Linked DNA regions of Drosophila melanogaster. The protein of the gene in region 2 purifies or fractionates together with the protein of the main gene of each other region. This does not show direct contact. Each region holds a gene or a part of one and is shown on either strand. Other genes may lie near its edges. The genes, in order: koko, Rme-8 and Slh.

Region 1 (4,196 bases), on a different chromosome or scaffold from region 2:
CGCTTGATCTGCTGCAGATTCCACGGAGCAGGCACTCCGGGCAGCTGGTTCAGCGAGAAGGCCTATCGTTATTGTTTACACATTAAACACCGTGCACAGGAAAATCCTTGCGAGACTCTCACCTGATACGCGATGAACGAAATTCCGACCAGGAAGATCAGCAGCAGGAACATCTTCGACTTCTGCTTGTAGAAGGGCTTGAAGTATATATTCTCTCGCTTCACCCACGTCTTACGCATATTGTCCTTGTTTTTTCGCTCTGGCCAAGTAATGTATAAAAAATATGTTTTGTTTACGAACTAGCATTGTTTTTGTACATGCCTGCGTTAGTCAACACTGCTGGGCTGGGGCTAAGGGTTGCCACCCATCCCGGAATTTAATCAAATACAGAGCGATTTATTTAAATTTGTTTGATAAAGTGTAATATTTTTTTGTAAAACTTTTAACAGCTTAAAAGTATAATGAATTTGATTGAAATAAAAGCGCCAAACACCTTTTTGCTTTTCCTCAGAATCTTAAAGCATTTCACAACTCCAAAGACCCATTAACAATATCATTTTTCACAGAACAATTGTTTATTGAATCAGTGTATAAATAAGTTGTAAACTTTAGATCTATCGTCTTCGCTGATAGGTAAATGTACTTTCGCCCGTCGATCACATAAGCATTTCATTACCGGTCAATTTATTTGTTTTGGCAAGGGCATGATGTAAATGCATTGGACATTTGAGCATATGTACGTCTAGTAGTATCTGAGATTGGTTTATGAGGTGGCGAGGGGAAAATAAATAAGTTCAGATGGCAGAAGGAATGGTTTTGGCAGTCTCTCTCAGCGATTAGGTGGCATTCAGGAAGCCCTCGTTCTTGTAGACCTCGATCACGTTCTCGATGATCTCCCACTGGTTCTCTCGGGTGAAGTCCTTGACCAAGGGCTTGTACCACATGGCGGATTCGTCGGACTCGTCGGTTAGCGGCACCTGGATGCCGTAGGTCTGGAGGGCCAGCGACAGGCACCCAATGGCCACATGGGTGGGCTTGTACTTGAGGATATTGGCGCTGTGGTGAAAGTCTTGCAGATACGAGGCGGCTGCCTTGGCAATGGGCACCGAGTTCCACACCTCAGTGCCCACCCAGTCTTGTAGGGTCTTCATGTAGTGGAGTAAGTACTTGTGGGCCAGATCTATGTTGAGATCGAAGCACAGGGTGCGCGTGATGAGCAGCTCAGCCTGGACAATGGCATCCCGCATCGACCAGTACTCATCGTTCAGGTCGACTGGATCATTGCCCCGGTTAAGGGTGCAGTATGCCACGTTGATGACATCGCGTATCTTGACACTTTCGTCTTCCTTAATTTTGCCAGCCAAGTACAGCGAGCCCGCGGCAATGAGCTGTGGATTCCAGAAAGTTTCTCATGAGATGGGGTCGTTTTGGGGGCATATATTACTCACGAACTCATCGTAGTCGCTGGCCTTGACCTCGCGGAAGAAGCGATGGAACACTATGGCCGCACAGGCCGCCGTCAGCGGTTTCATTTTCAACTTGGCAGCGCACTCAAAGATGTACATCGGCACCACGCCGGGTTTGTTCATTTTGCTGCGGCACAGATGGCACAGATATGTATATATTGGTGGTATCTTTAGATTGGATCATTCAACTTACCGATAGTCGATGGGCTTCATGGTCTGCGCCTTGTTCAACTCCACGTGCTGCTGCATCGACATGACATCCAAAACGTTTTTCATGCTGCTACTCCCAGGCCGAACTGAATGAAAGGATGAATGTGGGTGGATTTAAGCAATTTCGTTAACACTCGAGGAGCAAGATAAAAGCAATTGGACTGGTTGGGGAAATGGATGTGAACTGAGACCACCGAAAAGTCGAAAGGCGACAAACCGGTTTGATTGGGCTGCAGCGCTGTAATGGGAGATATGGTATCATATGCAGGGCGATCGGGAAAACTAACGGGCCCGAAGGTATGTCAGCTGTTCGATTGGAATCCAATACAACGGTGCACGGATTTGTTTGTCTTGTGGGAACTCCCAATGGTGTTTTCAAAAATAGTACCTACAACTACGGGCCAAACAGCTGTTCAAGTACACAGTGTTGATTAAGGATAATGCTTCCGTTTCAAAGGGTTATACAAGATAATCAACCCTAATAAATAATTACAGGAAAGCGCTGATCCATAGTTACATTTCTATTTGAATTTATTTACCTTCACGTGTCAGATTTGAAAGTCAGCAAAATTAACTAATTGTTTCTCAACACTAGTACTCAAACCAAAGTGCACTAAAAAAAAAACTTTGTTAATTGTACATTTTTATAGATGTGTTTTTGTTGAAAATTTTTCTAAACTAATTCATAACATATAATGAATTTTCAGTTAATTTTTACAGGATTTTTCGTTTTTATGATATAAATATATTTAATATGTAAACTGCAATTTCAAAATTATTTTATTTTAATTTGTTCAATTTGCTCTCAGTGTGCCACAGTCCGACTGTGCGATAATCGCACATCGATAACACTCGATACACACACCAGCTGTTCCGCCCGCTCCCCCCGCGCACAAAAACACCTGCAATAAGTATATTATCATTGCGAAAACCAAGTGCAACAGCAGTTCCCCAGTCAGCCAAAGAGGCAAATGCATCGCCAGCAGCGGAAGATGGATCAATAGAGCGCGAGTCTGCAACCCCTGAACACTAATTGGATTCCCCCGGGCGCTCTGCCCACCAGGAAACGGATATCGCCGACCAGCTCGGCTCAGAAAATCACTTGCGAGATACACAACAAAGAGGCGAAAAGAAAAGCATGAAGGCTAGCAAGACACGGGCTGTGCGCCTCACCAGTTTGACGGAGGACGTGGCCGCCGTACCGGAAGATGCACCATTCCGTGCACGCCTGCACGTCCTCTTCGCCCAGATCGAGCGGGAGTTCGAGCAGCTGTATCTGGAGAACCAGGCCCGTAAGTAGCTATATAATCCACAACTCCTTAAGGTCTCGTTCATAAACTTTAATATTTATTGCTTACATATGTCAAATTTTGTATAGTGCACGCATGATTAAAGCCTATTCTCTGTTATAGTGCAGGAGAAGCTAGACATAGCCACCACCACCAAGGAGTCATTGATTCCACCCGATGCCAGATCCGCAGCAGGAGGTTCAATGAGCACTCAGGCCTCATCCGCAGCTTTGGCCACGCCTGCAACCCAGACGGATGAGGTGGCGGGCAGCTTCCTGGCTGCAGCATCCAGTACACACAAGAGCTTGAAGGCCAAACTAAGCAGCGCTACCGGCGGCAGCAAAGCCAAGGCCAGCAACAAGATCAAGGCCCAAACCAGCCGCATTGTGTCCAGCTTTAAGGCGCCCACAGTGGTCAGCACGGTGGTCCGAGAATTCGGCGGCCACAAGGATGGCATCTGGCAGGTTGCCGCCAAGGCGGGACAACCCATCATTGGCACCGCCTCCGCCGATCATACGGCCTGCATCTGGGGCGTGGAGAGCGCCAGGTGCCTTTTGCAGTACCAAGGGCACGCCGGCTCCGTAAACTCCATCAAGTTCCATCAGCAGCGAGATCTTGTGCTCACCGGCAGCGGGGATGGTACTGCCCACATCTGGCAGGCGGCCGTCAACTGGGAAGTGCCCAAGTGAGTAACTTTGCAATATATTTTATAGTAGTTCAATAATCGTTGCATGATTTTCAGGAAGGGCCATTCTTCAGAGGAGGAACTGGACGACAGTGATGAGCAGGTGGAAGATCGCGATCGTGTGGACACCTTACGCACTCCGCTCTGCGAGTTCACAGGCCCCGGCGGTCATCTTTCAGTCGTGGTGGCCGCCGATTGGCTCTCTTCGATGGATCAAATCATCACGGGCAGCTGGGATCGGACTGCCATCCTGTGGGACGTGGAGACTGGCCTGCCACTGCAGCCGCTCACTGGGCACGACCACGAGCTCACCCACGTGTCGGCACATCCCACCCAGCGCCTGGTGGTCACCGCTTCCAGGGACACTACGTTCCGTCTATGGGACTTCCGAGAGGCAATCCCAGCGGTCTCCGTCTTCCAAGGGCACACGGAAACGGTTACGTCCAGTGTGTTCGCACGCGACGACAAGGTGGTGTCCGGATCAGATGATCGTACAATCAAGGTCTGGGAGCTGCGCAACATGCGATCCGCCTTGGCCACCATTCG
Region 2 (4,890 bases):
TTCCATGGCCTCCTCACTATCTGTTAGCCACAGCCCGATCAAATGCCGCGACAACTGACGTTGCGTGGTCTGTGTGGGATCATTGGAGGGCGTATACAGTGCCACCAGTAAGTGGCGGCACAGCGCAGCCTCATCCAAAGCCAATGCTTGCATTTGCTGAGCCACTTGCAGCTCGCCTTCTTCAATAATGGCCCGCAGCACCAATCCAGCTCCCTTCACGATCGCCAGCGAGGGATGCTGGAACAGTTTGTACAAATAGCGTCCACGATCGGCAACCAGCTCCAGCAGAGTATCGAACTGCTTGCCGTCAGTGGTCTCGCTGTAAGGCACACACAAGGCAAAGGTCATGAAGTCCAGCATGGCTGAGAGTACCAGAGCACCACTGCCATGGCTCTGAAATCATAAATAGTTACAAAACGAATTGACCGCACTCTAGAATGGTTACATTACCACATGGGTTGTCCACATGTTGAGCAAAGTTTCCAGAAACGATTTTGATGACAGAATGGATGACTTGTTAAGTTGCTCCTGTTTTAAATCATGGTCAGAATTCACAGAATGCATTAGCGAGTTAATCATGTCAATGGCGGAGTATGTCACAGCCAAATCCTTGCGTCTTAAAGCAGCCACCACCTTTGTACCGATAATCTCACGAAAGCTGAAATGTATTCAAACATTAACAATGCTATTAGTACGAAACTAGAATATATTACCCCGGGAGATTCGTAAAGGCTGCGTATCCAACTTTGCTAGCGAGAAGACGAGTAAGAGCGTGAAAGATAGCCTCCAGCTCCAAGTTGCTCAGCTGGGCCGTAGGGCTGTCCAGCTCCTTTTGAGCCAACGCTTGCAGGGCACTCAGGATAAGTTTATCTTTGTTTTCAGCAAACAAGCTCTGTGAAACGAAACATTAGTTAGGTTGAACCGGAATCCGAGCATTAGGTTAACCTACATCCTGAGTTACACTGTAGTTGAGGCCACTGTGAGGCACATTGGCATTAAAGCGCTCCAAGATCTCATACCGCTTAGAGGGGTTTTGAAAATTGTTGATAACCAGGCGCATCAAATTCGCCTCCGTCTCCTCGTCCACCGAGCTGTTCAATGGCACATACCGTTTCCCTCGCGGCGTGTTGCCAATGCGGACGTGCACATCCTGATTGCCACTGGAGCGGACAGCATCCAGAACAGTGGCCAACAATGAGTCGCGGTCGTTGGTGCTGTAGTTGCGCACGATTCCATTCTTGTACTCGATGCTGAAGCGCTGAAGATTGTCCTTGTCTCTAACTAAGGCAAACACATCAGTGAGCGGACGCAGGGTGCAGACGCTGTAGGTTTGAGGATCCCGCTCCAGCAGCGTTACCTCGGTGAGGCAGAGTATACGCTTCACCGGATCCGGATGGCGGGGCGTTATCTTATGAACCGAGAATTCGGTCGACGAGGTTTGAAACTGGTCACCACTGAAATATTATATGGCTTTTTTTTTCTACAAATTCTTTATTGCGTTTCACATGAACTTACCTAAACTTGCCGAACCGCTGCCTCTCGAACTGCTCCAGAGTGATCTGACTCTTGAGTATTTTGGTTTCGATGCCCAGAAACTGAGCCGATCTCTGTGCTATGTTCTGCACGATTTCGTGGTGATTCAGCGCCTTAAACAAATGGAGGCGACTGAATCCGCCGTAGGCCATCACGATTCCTCCCTCATAGTCCGAGATGCCTGCTTAAAACGTGTGCGGAAGAAAGATGAGTGCGGCAAGTAACCAAAAATAAAAAAAAGAACAAAACACGGAGCGATCATATTGAATTGTAATTGAGGCACATGAGGACAAAACAAGACACATTAATTGATGCAAGCGAGTCGAATGTGCATAGCTACCTATTATTCCCTCGATATCCTTGTACATATAGCTGGCCAGCACGTCGTTGGTGGTGGGATCGAGCTGGTCCAGAGAACAGGGCGTGACCTCCAGTACTGTGGGAAGACTGATGCCCGACCAGTGGTATTTGTAAGCACTAAAGCGCTACAAAATTTAGATAGTATTCAAAATTAAAATTTTGACAGATTAGAATTCATATTGCATATTTAAATGTTAATTAGAAACATCTGAATCACACATGAAATGTTGGAGAAGTGTTTCCAAATTAGTATAGGATTTAAAGCGAGACTCAAAAACCAACCTGAGCATTTTTCGGCTTGTCCGCAAACTCTTTGTAGTACTTTAATATAGAGCTTAGGATATCGTTCCGATATTCCGACGATAACTTGATTGTATCTAGTTTCTTATCCTTTTTGATGGTAATCACGAAGTCATGGGGTATCTGAAAGATCAATTTATTTAGTTCCGAGCTCTCCGTAGGATCTTATAAACTCACATTTGTGGTCTTTGAGGGTGCTGCTGCTACGATGTCCGAATAGGACCACCTGTTAGTCAGGTCAAGCTTGTCCGGATTGTAGGTGGATATGCCGGCCGTGCCGATGGAGAGGATGCGCTTATACCTGCCCTTCCAGGAGTGCTTGGTCACCAGGAAGCACTCCAGATCGACGTTTTCCTTAGGCGGCAGCATCGTTTCTTGTGACGATTCCAACTGATTACCTTCCACCCAGTATTAGTCAGCAACTGAAAGTGAGTGAGATATGGAGTGTGGGAACGGGAGTCAAATCAGAGCCGCGGCAATTCATGACTGGTCTTTCGGGCGCGCAGCTGGTTCACGTTCCCAGCGGTTTCCAAATATCCAATTGACTTGCCCCCGACTCCAGGGCACTGATTAATTAAGTCGACTTGGGCACTTATCAGCAGAAGTGCCAACGGAGCCCCAACAAAGACCAGAAAAGGGGAGTAAACGTGACGAGTGCGGAATGCTGCGGCCCCCAGAGCGCGGACCGTTGGATACGGCTCCGCCGAGCTGCAGCCCTGGCGGTGGCTTACCTTAAACATCTAACACATTTTGCCCAATTGTTATATTGTCTTCTATTCCTAATATCTCTCGTTTGCGGAATTTTTGCAATAAACAATTTAGCAGTAACACGGCTACACAACACTAATAAATAGAGGTGCAAGTATCGATGGCAATAGTCTTGCAGCGATTCGATAGTTTGTAAGGTTCTATCGATAGTGGTCCCGTTCAGCAGCAATTGGTAAACGCATATTCACGGTATTCTCGGAGTATTTAAGTTTCAAGCTTAATTCACTTTTGAGTCAGGATGTTTGTTTGTGCCATAAAACATTTTATAAAACCAAATTGCAATTAAACCTGATTCCAGCTTTTTCCCAATTTTTCCCATACCAATTACCAGTTTATACGTTTCGCTTTTCATAACGATTAAATAATTGCTAATAATTTTATGTAGAATATGAACGCACGACACTTTTATCTGTATATCATTATTTTTAAGTTTAATATGTGATCACTAAACAATAAGGAATACCATAGTTGATAACTATCGATAGTTTGAATATTAAAAAAAAAGAAAAACATTGCCGGTTGGGGATACGATTTTTTACCGTTAAAAAAGGAAATGTAAAAACAAAGCTTTTATTCGTATTTATTTACAAAGACCAGTGATTCAATGAAGGCAAATACTAGTAGCATAACATTTTCATTGTATCACAAAAGCACTTACACAGAATTTATTCAGCCAATAAAACACGTCGTCTGAACTTAACTACCATTAAAAACTTTATTTCTGATTTCGCATTGCATTAAGCGTACGTATTGTTATCTAAATACAAATAATGATGGCAGAGTGTGTTTGCATACGAGAATAATAATTCCAAGATAAAACAATCTCGCCAGCAGAGGCAAATAAAACAAACAAAACAATAAGACGATTCGCATTTTACACAAATGTAGTATGCTATGATACGGATGCTGCACTACCTCCGGCTAATCCTCGCAACTAGGGCAATGATGGTGATAGTAATAATGTTTCGTATGCGTAGGTATGTTATGTGTCACCATATAAATTCTCAAAGTGACACGGATCCCGATGCCGGCGCAACATTGTGGACCCACAGACGGGGTGTTAAAGATAAAGACGGACGGGATGATACGGATGACACTAAGTCTTAGACAAATGTTACGTTAAAACCCTAAGCATAGTTATCGCTATCTTCTAACAACATGAACATGGAGTGGACGTAGGCACATGGCGTTTCTGTGTTGAAACTCGCTCTTAAACTGGGAATGGGAATAGGAGTCGCCGGACCTCGGTCCCAGGTCAGCAGGAACACTTGTTCTTGGCATCCGATCCGGTTGCATCGGCCGCGCTCAAGTTGAACTTGTCGCCATCGGCCAGATCGGCAGATATCAGCTTATCGTTGATGAGTATCTGTCGGGCGAGTGGAAGAAGATTAGCGGGGCTTTGGCTGGGCATTAGCAGCGATTATCACCTTATTCACGAGGGCACGAGCTGCCTCATCGATGTTGATATTCTCCTTGGCGGATGTCTCAAACCAACCGGCAAATCCGTTCTCCCTCACATACTCATCCATCTTCTCGGGCTGCGTTATGATGCCCTGCTTTTCCTGGTCGCACTGGAAAACGGATGAGCAACGTATTAATCACATAATATAGAAATTATGCGGTCTCCTTTAACCTTTAGGCAATCACTTACTTTATTGGCCAGCAGGATGCACGGAATGGGACTGCCGTCCGGCAGCTGCACCTTGGAGTCTAGATCTTCCTTCCACTTGCTCACGCAATCGAAAGTCCCACTGCGAGTCACATCAAAAACGATGAACGCGCCCACCGCCTCCTTGTAGTAGACACGGGTCATGTTGCCAAACCTCTCCTGACCGGCGATATCCCACAGCTGGAGGCGCACTATCGTATTGGCGTCCCACTGCAGCACTTTCAGGGCGAAGTCCACGCCGATGGTGGCCCTGTAGTTCT
Region 3 (7,067 bases), on a different chromosome or scaffold from region 2:
TTTTGGTAGCCGGGCTAACAAGCCGCTAACAAGCCAGCTCCTCATTCTCCTCCTCCTGCTCTCCAACTCCTACTCCTCGCAGGATGATCCATCCATCCGCGCTGCTCTTTTATTGCCGGCAAATATTTGGAACCTCTACCTCTGCGCTTCGGCTCGTTTCTTCTCCGCCGATGGGTGCTGTATTATTATTTGGCTGATTAATTAACATGCCGCTCCCGATCTCCAAAAGCGGACCACCGAGGGCGGCGATGCCCAGAAAATGTTTGTGGTAGCACCATCCCGGCTGGGAACAACAATGGGATATTCCAACAAAATGCTGACAAGGATAACACAAGGGTCCAACTGTGGGAGTCCACAGGTCTGGCGCAGATCAAACAAAATTAGAATGTAAAGTTGATGGACATGTGTTAGGGAGTTCCAGCTGAAGTAAACTATAGATGTATGTATATACTACTAAAGCATATCCAAAACAGTTCATAGGTTGCAAATACATTTATTTATATTTATTTTTTTGGATCATATGTATATATATTTATTTTTTGCTTGTGTACAATATCAAACATTGATGTTTAATAAGAGTGGGAAAAACTTATATTGCGCTTATAAAAACCATCAAAACCACAAGGGTTATGCCCTCCCATATGAACCCACATATCTGACCAGATCTCAGCAGACTCTCCACTTCGAGTCCATTCATTGGGTCTAAAGATCCCAACCCAAAGCTAAAGCTGAAGCTGTGTCTGAAGATCGCCTTCTCTGTCTGGCTGGCACTTCATTTTGTGGGATCGTCCGACTGCCTGACTGGCTGTTCGAGTCGGGCTCCTCGAATTTTGGAATTTGTTCTGCCTTGTTAAGAGTTGTTAAGATTATGATATATGTATGGGATGTCGGCGAGTGTGTGTCGGTGTGCTGGCGGAGATTGGGCGGCTGGGGCGCTGAGCGAGCGGATCGGGCGGGTCGGTCGGATCCGGCAGAATCATCCAGCAAGACGACGACAGCGGCAGCCATTATGATTCACAGCAGGAATGTGGGAAACGGCTGCCTGACCATTTTATTTTTTTTCTCGATTTTTGGGTCTCGACGGCGGAGGAGCTGCGCTGGCTACGAGATCCACACCACACAGATACTCACGCATACAGCGACAGTTGCATTTACCACATAATCGATTCATGCATGTGGCAAGTTAAGAATTTCTTTCATGTTGCGTTCTCGTTGTTAGTTTCTGTAGTCGTTTTTCCCTCTCATTTTTTCCTTATGATTTGTTTGAGCCGCATCTTTTCGGACCACCCGTGAAATCACTTTGGGTTACCAGTTTCTGGCTGGGAGTTCGACTTTTCGTTTCCCCTGTACTTTTATTTATTTATTTTTTTTTTCGAGTCTCTTGGATTTTTTTTTGGGTCTTGGGCTTTTGTTAAATTGCTCTTGTTTATGTTAACATTTAAATTGTGGCCACGGGTAGTCTGGATAGTAACCCAACCCCTGCCCGGCTGCCCAACCAAAACCAATATTTAAACTCAACGCTCCATGAATAATCATCGTCATCGTCATCATCTCTTCTTCGGCCTTTCATCAGGGCCATCAATTCTGATTTACCAAAAGTGTTAATTAGCCCACGGATCGCTTTTTTCTCCACCATATTTTACTCATTTTTTGTGGTATTTGTTTGCCGCTTATCTCGGGAAACTTCCTACAGTGGCCTGAATGTCATTGGAAATATTTTCAGTTCGAGCTTTTTCATTTCATGGGGAAAATTTCAGCATTTCGCTGGTCAAATGCCATTAAATTGAGGAAAATCTTAGAGATTTTATTACTTTACTACATTGGCCAATCTGTAGAATCAATTCTATAAACATTCTCTATCGTTGTTTTTACAATTGATTTCTATAATTTGGTATCGGTTAATAAGGTTCTTAAAACATTCCTTTTCCTGCCACTTCTTTTTCCTACTTGTTAGAATTTTCATTTACATCATCTTTTCTTGCAACACCAATTCAAACCAAAGATGGGCTTTCAGGGATAATTTAACGCTCTTCTTTGATGGACTTGGCCTGCCTGGCTGCCAGGCTGCCTGCCCGTCTCCCAAGGAAGCGACATTCAATCAGAGCTGCAGTGCTTCGAAAAAATGCGCCTAGTGCTCCAGTGCGCTGGCTATGCCATCGACAGCGACTTGCCTCGCCTCGATCCATTCATAGTTGGCCAGGGATAGTGCTAATTGCTGGGTGCTGTCCCTGCCAGCTTCTGCGCCTGTCCCCAAGTGCCGCGCATAGTTGTCGCCCCATAATTGTGGCACCGCCGCCGAAGGCAGCGGGCATCGGGATGGCTGGGCCATCATCGCCTCAGCCGTTGACTGGTTGTCTGTCAGCTGTCCATCAAAGCGTTGCCAAGTTGGTGTTAATGGGTGCCTAGAATGCGAGTACCCCTGCCCGCCGCCAAGCTCCCATTCCAGCAGCTCTGGCACCAGCTCCCTGGGCTTGTTGTACACGAGGCTACGCATGTTTTTGCTTGTTGTCCTTCGGGGATTAAGCGTCAGGTTGGAGTAATTGCCGAGTGCTGAGCTCTGGCTCTGCCGTTGCGTTCGCTTGCTTCTCTTTTTTGCCTGGCATTTAATTTATTTTTGGATATGCTTAAAGTAAACGAAAGAAGCCACACAGACACCCATGCACATGCAACCAAAACCCGGTCCACTCCGCTCAGCAGCAATGGAATCGGAGCAGCCGCTCCTAACTCGTCGCCGTCGGCGACTGGATCTCGCCGCCCAGGGCGGAGAGCTCCTTGAGGAACTGCCTCGCGTTGGTCAGCGTGGAAGCGCCATAAATGATGCGCCGTTGCACATTGGACGTTTGCTTCTGTTTGATGAAGTCCACCAGGTTCTGGTACTCGATGTAGTTGCCTCCGCCGACCATGAACACCACGGCGTCCTGGAATGGAGCACGATTTTTGGGCAGGACCTCGCCACCTTTGAGCAGCTTTGGATCCAGATAAAGGTAGTCATCCGTCTCCGCATTGCTGCGGCACTCCATCACCTGCTCGGTGATCTTGGTCACCGGAAGATTCTGCAAACAATTTTGATATAGAACTTGAATTTGAATTTGGAAAGAGAAACTCACATGTCGCTTGACCACCAGATTCTTGACGCCCTCCATCACGAAGGAGCTGCCCTGTGAGACGAGTTTAGTGAACATGGACACAGTCTTGGTGCCGCCACCCTCGTACTGTGTGGCTTGGCTAATGCTCGGCGAGCGGTTCATGATTCCCTTCCATCGTTGCACGTACGCAAGGGCAGTTAGGTCACAACCGGCAGCCTGCAGCGCCTCCTTGAGCCGCTCCTGCTCCGATTCGGGTAACTGCTGGGCGCAGATAAAGTAGATGATATACAGGCGCAGCTTGTCCTCCGCCTGACCAAACTCTCCATCTCGCAGTAGGTCCAGCAGCGGTCTGTCCAGTGTCTGCTTCGACATGACCTTCTCCTCGATCTCAAAAAACGAATCCAGTCGTCGAGCCTTAATGAAGTTCAGGATTGCAGTGGCGATCTTGGTGTGCATGTCGATCAGTCGCTTCTTCTCCATCAGTTGGGGCAGCGAATTGACGGCATTGGTGAGCCTGGCCGTTGTGTCATTGACCAAAGAGAATGCAATGTCCGACTCGCCCTCGATACCCATCGATGTCTTCAAGCGCTTGATCTCCTCCTCGGAGTTCCGATAGGATTCCAGCTCCTCCTGGATGGCTTCGGCCACCGTGGGAAATGGACTGCCCTTGTGCGTCATCCAGAAGCGGTCGTTGCGGTCCAAGTCACAGGCCTTGGGTTTTTTGCGGGCTCCTAAAGAATAGGAAAACGTAGTTGGTGAGTCTCAGTTATTCAGCGCCTTGATAAAAGTAATTTTACTTGCCCGCACTAGCCGTCTCGTCCTCCACGTAGACAAGATTCAGTCCCAAGTCCAGTACATCGTGCACAAGCGCCTGATACGACCAGGTGTGATGGAGCGGCGTGGCTAAATCCATGTTCCTGTCCAGCAGCAGGAGCACAGGTCTCTGAAAGCTGAACACTCCGCCGCCGGCTTGCGTGGCATCCATGTGGAACAAATTGGCACGCGCATCCCAAAGGTTCTCGCGCAGCTTCTTCTCCAGCTTGCGTGCCACCATTTCAGCGGCACTGTTCCGCGGACAGCGGATGATGGGCACATTGCCCAGGGTCACAAACAGGGCGAAGAGCGAGTCTACAATGGAGTCCATCAGGGCCTCCATCTCTTCATCGCGGGTGTTGGCCCGGTTGATGGCGTAGTATGAAAGCTGATCGCTCTGCTGGTGCTTTAGGATGAAGAAGTCATCCTCCAGACTGATGAAGTTCACATACTGGTCGTAAACGCGATGGATGTTGGCCACGCAGCCGGCATGCAGGGCTGCGGCGGCCAGATTCTCGATTTTGCTGCGCGTTATGGGAGCTAGGAAGTTCAGGTGGTACACGTCGTACAGTCCGCTCGAGAAGTCCTGCTGAATCCTGTCCAAATTCTCGTCGGTGGGCAGGCAGAAGTATATAGCCGGCACATCCGGAATGGAGTCGCGATCCGAGTGCAGTTGCCTGGAGGTTAACCAAAGCTATAATTTCTGGATTCCTGGAGGATCTCGCACAACTTACACATGCAGCGTCACGCCCAACTCGCGCAGCTCCTTGATGGAAATAATGGGCGATATGATGTCCTGGCCAACGCGATCGTAGATAAGGATCTTCCACACGGGCTCGGCAGCTAGGGCTTTCGGCTGCTGCGAGTTCAAATTAAGCATCTGCTTAATGGCATCTGCAATGATTAATATGAAAATCCATTAATTAGGTTTTCCCTTCAATGGGGGCATTGTTTTCATAGTTTCTCACTGATTTGGCGCTCCCGCAGGGTCAGCATTATATAGTCCGTCTTTAGCCCGTCCTTCTGAGTTAGTTTCAGTGGATTTTCAACAATCTATGTCCGTTTTAGCAGCTGAAAAACATATTTTACAAAAAAACAACACGTCACAAGCGACGGCGAGGCAACGCGTTTTGGGAAATTTTAGTGCATAGTACAGGCATCAGCTGTGCGGCTGGTGTGAACGTATGCAGTGGAAATTCCAATATGAATATTTAAATACTAAATGAAAATGAATGTAGTCTATTTATTCTATAGATATAGATATGTGTGCCAGTGTAATGCAGCTATATTGGGTTGGTATATTTTCTACAATCGAAATTCGTAGGCTCCTGTTCGAGAAGGTTGGCAGCACCCTTTGGGATTACCGCACGGTCACACCTGTCAGCTGATTTCGAAAAGTCACGTTTCAGTCAGTTTCACCATTTTCTGCCAGTTATTTTTCGTTCGTCGACGCGAGTGGTTCGTTGTGCTTTCTTGTGATTTTATTTAAAAGTTGTCGGATCGCAATGATCTTAAAGGAGGAGCACCCACACCAGAGCATCGAAACTGCCGCAAATGCGGCAAGGCAGGCGCAGGTCCGCTGGCGAATGGCGCATCTTAAGGCACTCAGCCGCACTCGAACACCAGCGCACGGCAATTGCTGCGGTCGCGTCGTCAGTAAAAATCACTTTTTCAAGCACAGTCGCGCGTTTCTGTGGTTCCTGCTGTGCAACTTAGTGATGAACGCGGACGCATTCGCCCACTCCCAGCTGCTCATTAACGTCCAAAATCAGGTGCGAAATCGCAAAAAAAAATGGTTTAAAACACTTAAATCCCAACAACGCAAAACGCAACAACGACAAACAGCGACGCTGGCAGCGCTGCCCATCTGATTTTCGAACATCTCATTTCGAAAATTTGCGCGCCAAAACAAAACAAATTTAAAACGCGGGAGAATGAGAGAGCGAAAGAGAGGTGCTCAAGACAAATAAACAAATCTGCGAAAACAACAAATTAAATATTAAAAAGATAGTAATTCAGTGACAGTTATTACAGCTATGACAGTAGAATATGACAAGTATATGTATCTGAAATTTAAAATTTGCCTAGTCATATTGTAAAATACGCCAATATATTGCTTTTAGAATTAGCAAGGATTCGGTATTTCATAAACAATGCTTAGTTCGTTCTTAAGAACACGCAGTTCATCCAATAAGTTGCAAATGTAAAGGATTGCACACACGCATACACAGCCCACGTTGATTCGTGCAGCACACATGTGCACAACAAATCATGTCCCCTATTGATTTATGCAAAATACAGGATTCTCCGAATGGAAACATGTTCTGTGAGCTTGTACTTCGCCGATATCTAATTAGTATACCGTTAAGTAGGCCAGATAATCCATCGATGCCTGATGACCATAAAACAAAGCTCTATTCTATATGCTTGCAACGCCATTATGTACATATGTATGTACATGCATATGTCGCAGCGTTGACATTTTCTTGTGCCTGATCTCCCATGTTGAGTGAAGCGAATTCCAACCGGCGTGCGCGATCGTCTGTATGCAACTGATCGTATTTTCTACGCATCGATCTATCCTTTACACACGCTAGTGTAGTCCAACTAGGCGACAGCGCGACAACGCCGTCGCCTCACTCGTAACGGTACTTTGACGCCAGTCATATTCTTCGTGATAGTCAAATTCTAAGAATGACCTCTCAATATACCGAACTCATTGCGCAGCTGCGTCTTGCAAGCACAGTGGTCAAACCATGGTAATAATATGACAGACACGTACAGTGGTCAGAATACATCCGTAATGCGACATATACATATGTGCAGTTCAATGCCAGTATTGAAACTTTCACTTGCCTGTCGTTTCGTTTTTCCACTTTAATATTAGTTGGGTTTGTTTGACTGCCTCAATATTGACACTTTGCTTTCGGCTTTTCCATAAATTTTAGATTAGCTGGCCGAAAAAGCACCGGGCTTGAAATGAAGGCAGCCTCTCTCTTTCTCTCTTTCCCTATTTCACTTGCACACAGCGTATTTTCGTACATCTTTGTTTACATGTGACATCCTTCATTGTTCTCTGCGCTCTGTCCCTGGCCCCAAAATGTCCTGATGGCTCTCTTCCTTCGCTCCTCCATACTTCCTCTTCTCTTCTCACTTCTTTCGGCTATT

What was found.
Region 1: the proteins of Rme-8 (region 2) and koko purify together in Drosophila melanogaster (affinity purification with mass spectrometry, with the first as the bait; one large-scale study listed by BioGRID). This does not show direct contact.
Region 3: the proteins of Rme-8 (region 2) and Slh purify together in Drosophila melanogaster (affinity purification with mass spectrometry, with the first as the bait; one large-scale study listed by BioGRID). This does not show direct contact.

The regions. Positions count from the first base shown.
Region 1 is NT_033777.3:18,401,086-18,405,281, reverse strand, and holds koko (kokopelli), read right to left. Parts: upstream 2,257-4,196; 5' UTR 2,216-2,256; intron 2,060-2,215; exon of another isoform or gene 1,763-2,059; 5' UTR 1,743-1,762; coding exon 1,660-1,742; intron 1,594-1,659; coding exon 1,449-1,593; intron 1,389-1,448; coding exon 837-1,388; 3' UTR 556-836; downstream 1-555. Other genes in the region: CG7685 (uncharacterized protein), read right to left, coding at 1-62, 123-239; Wdr37 (WD repeat domain 37), read left to right, coding at 2,815-2,968, 3,089-3,650, 3,708-4,196.
Region 2 is NT_033778.4:9,174,218-9,179,107, forward strand, and holds the start of Rme-8 (receptor mediated endocytosis 8), read right to left. Parts: upstream 3,045-4,890; 5' UTR 2,925-3,044; intron 2,616-2,924; 5' UTR 2,563-2,615; coding exon 2,371-2,562; intron 2,317-2,370; coding exon 2,176-2,316; intron 2,019-2,175; coding exon 1,874-2,018; intron 1,718-1,873; coding exon 1,516-1,717; intron 1,455-1,515; coding exon 950-1,454; intron 893-949; coding exon 714-892; intron 659-713; coding exon 451-658; intron 394-450; coding exon 1-393. Other genes in the region: Rab32, read right to left, coding at 4,217-4,327, 4,389-4,532, 4,613-4,890.
Region 3 is NT_033779.5:2,487,626-2,494,692, forward strand, and holds Slh (SLY-1 homologous), read right to left. Parts: upstream 5,047-7,067; 5' UTR 4,896-5,046; coding exon 4,868-4,895; intron 4,794-4,867; coding exon 4,634-4,793; intron 4,577-4,633; coding exon 3,888-4,576; intron 3,818-3,887; coding exon 3,108-3,817; intron 3,054-3,107; coding exon 2,721-3,053; 3' UTR 572-2,720; downstream 1-571. Other genes in the region: oaf (out at first), read left to right, coding at 5,405-5,671. UniProt on the Drosophila melanogaster protein: Non-vital for development.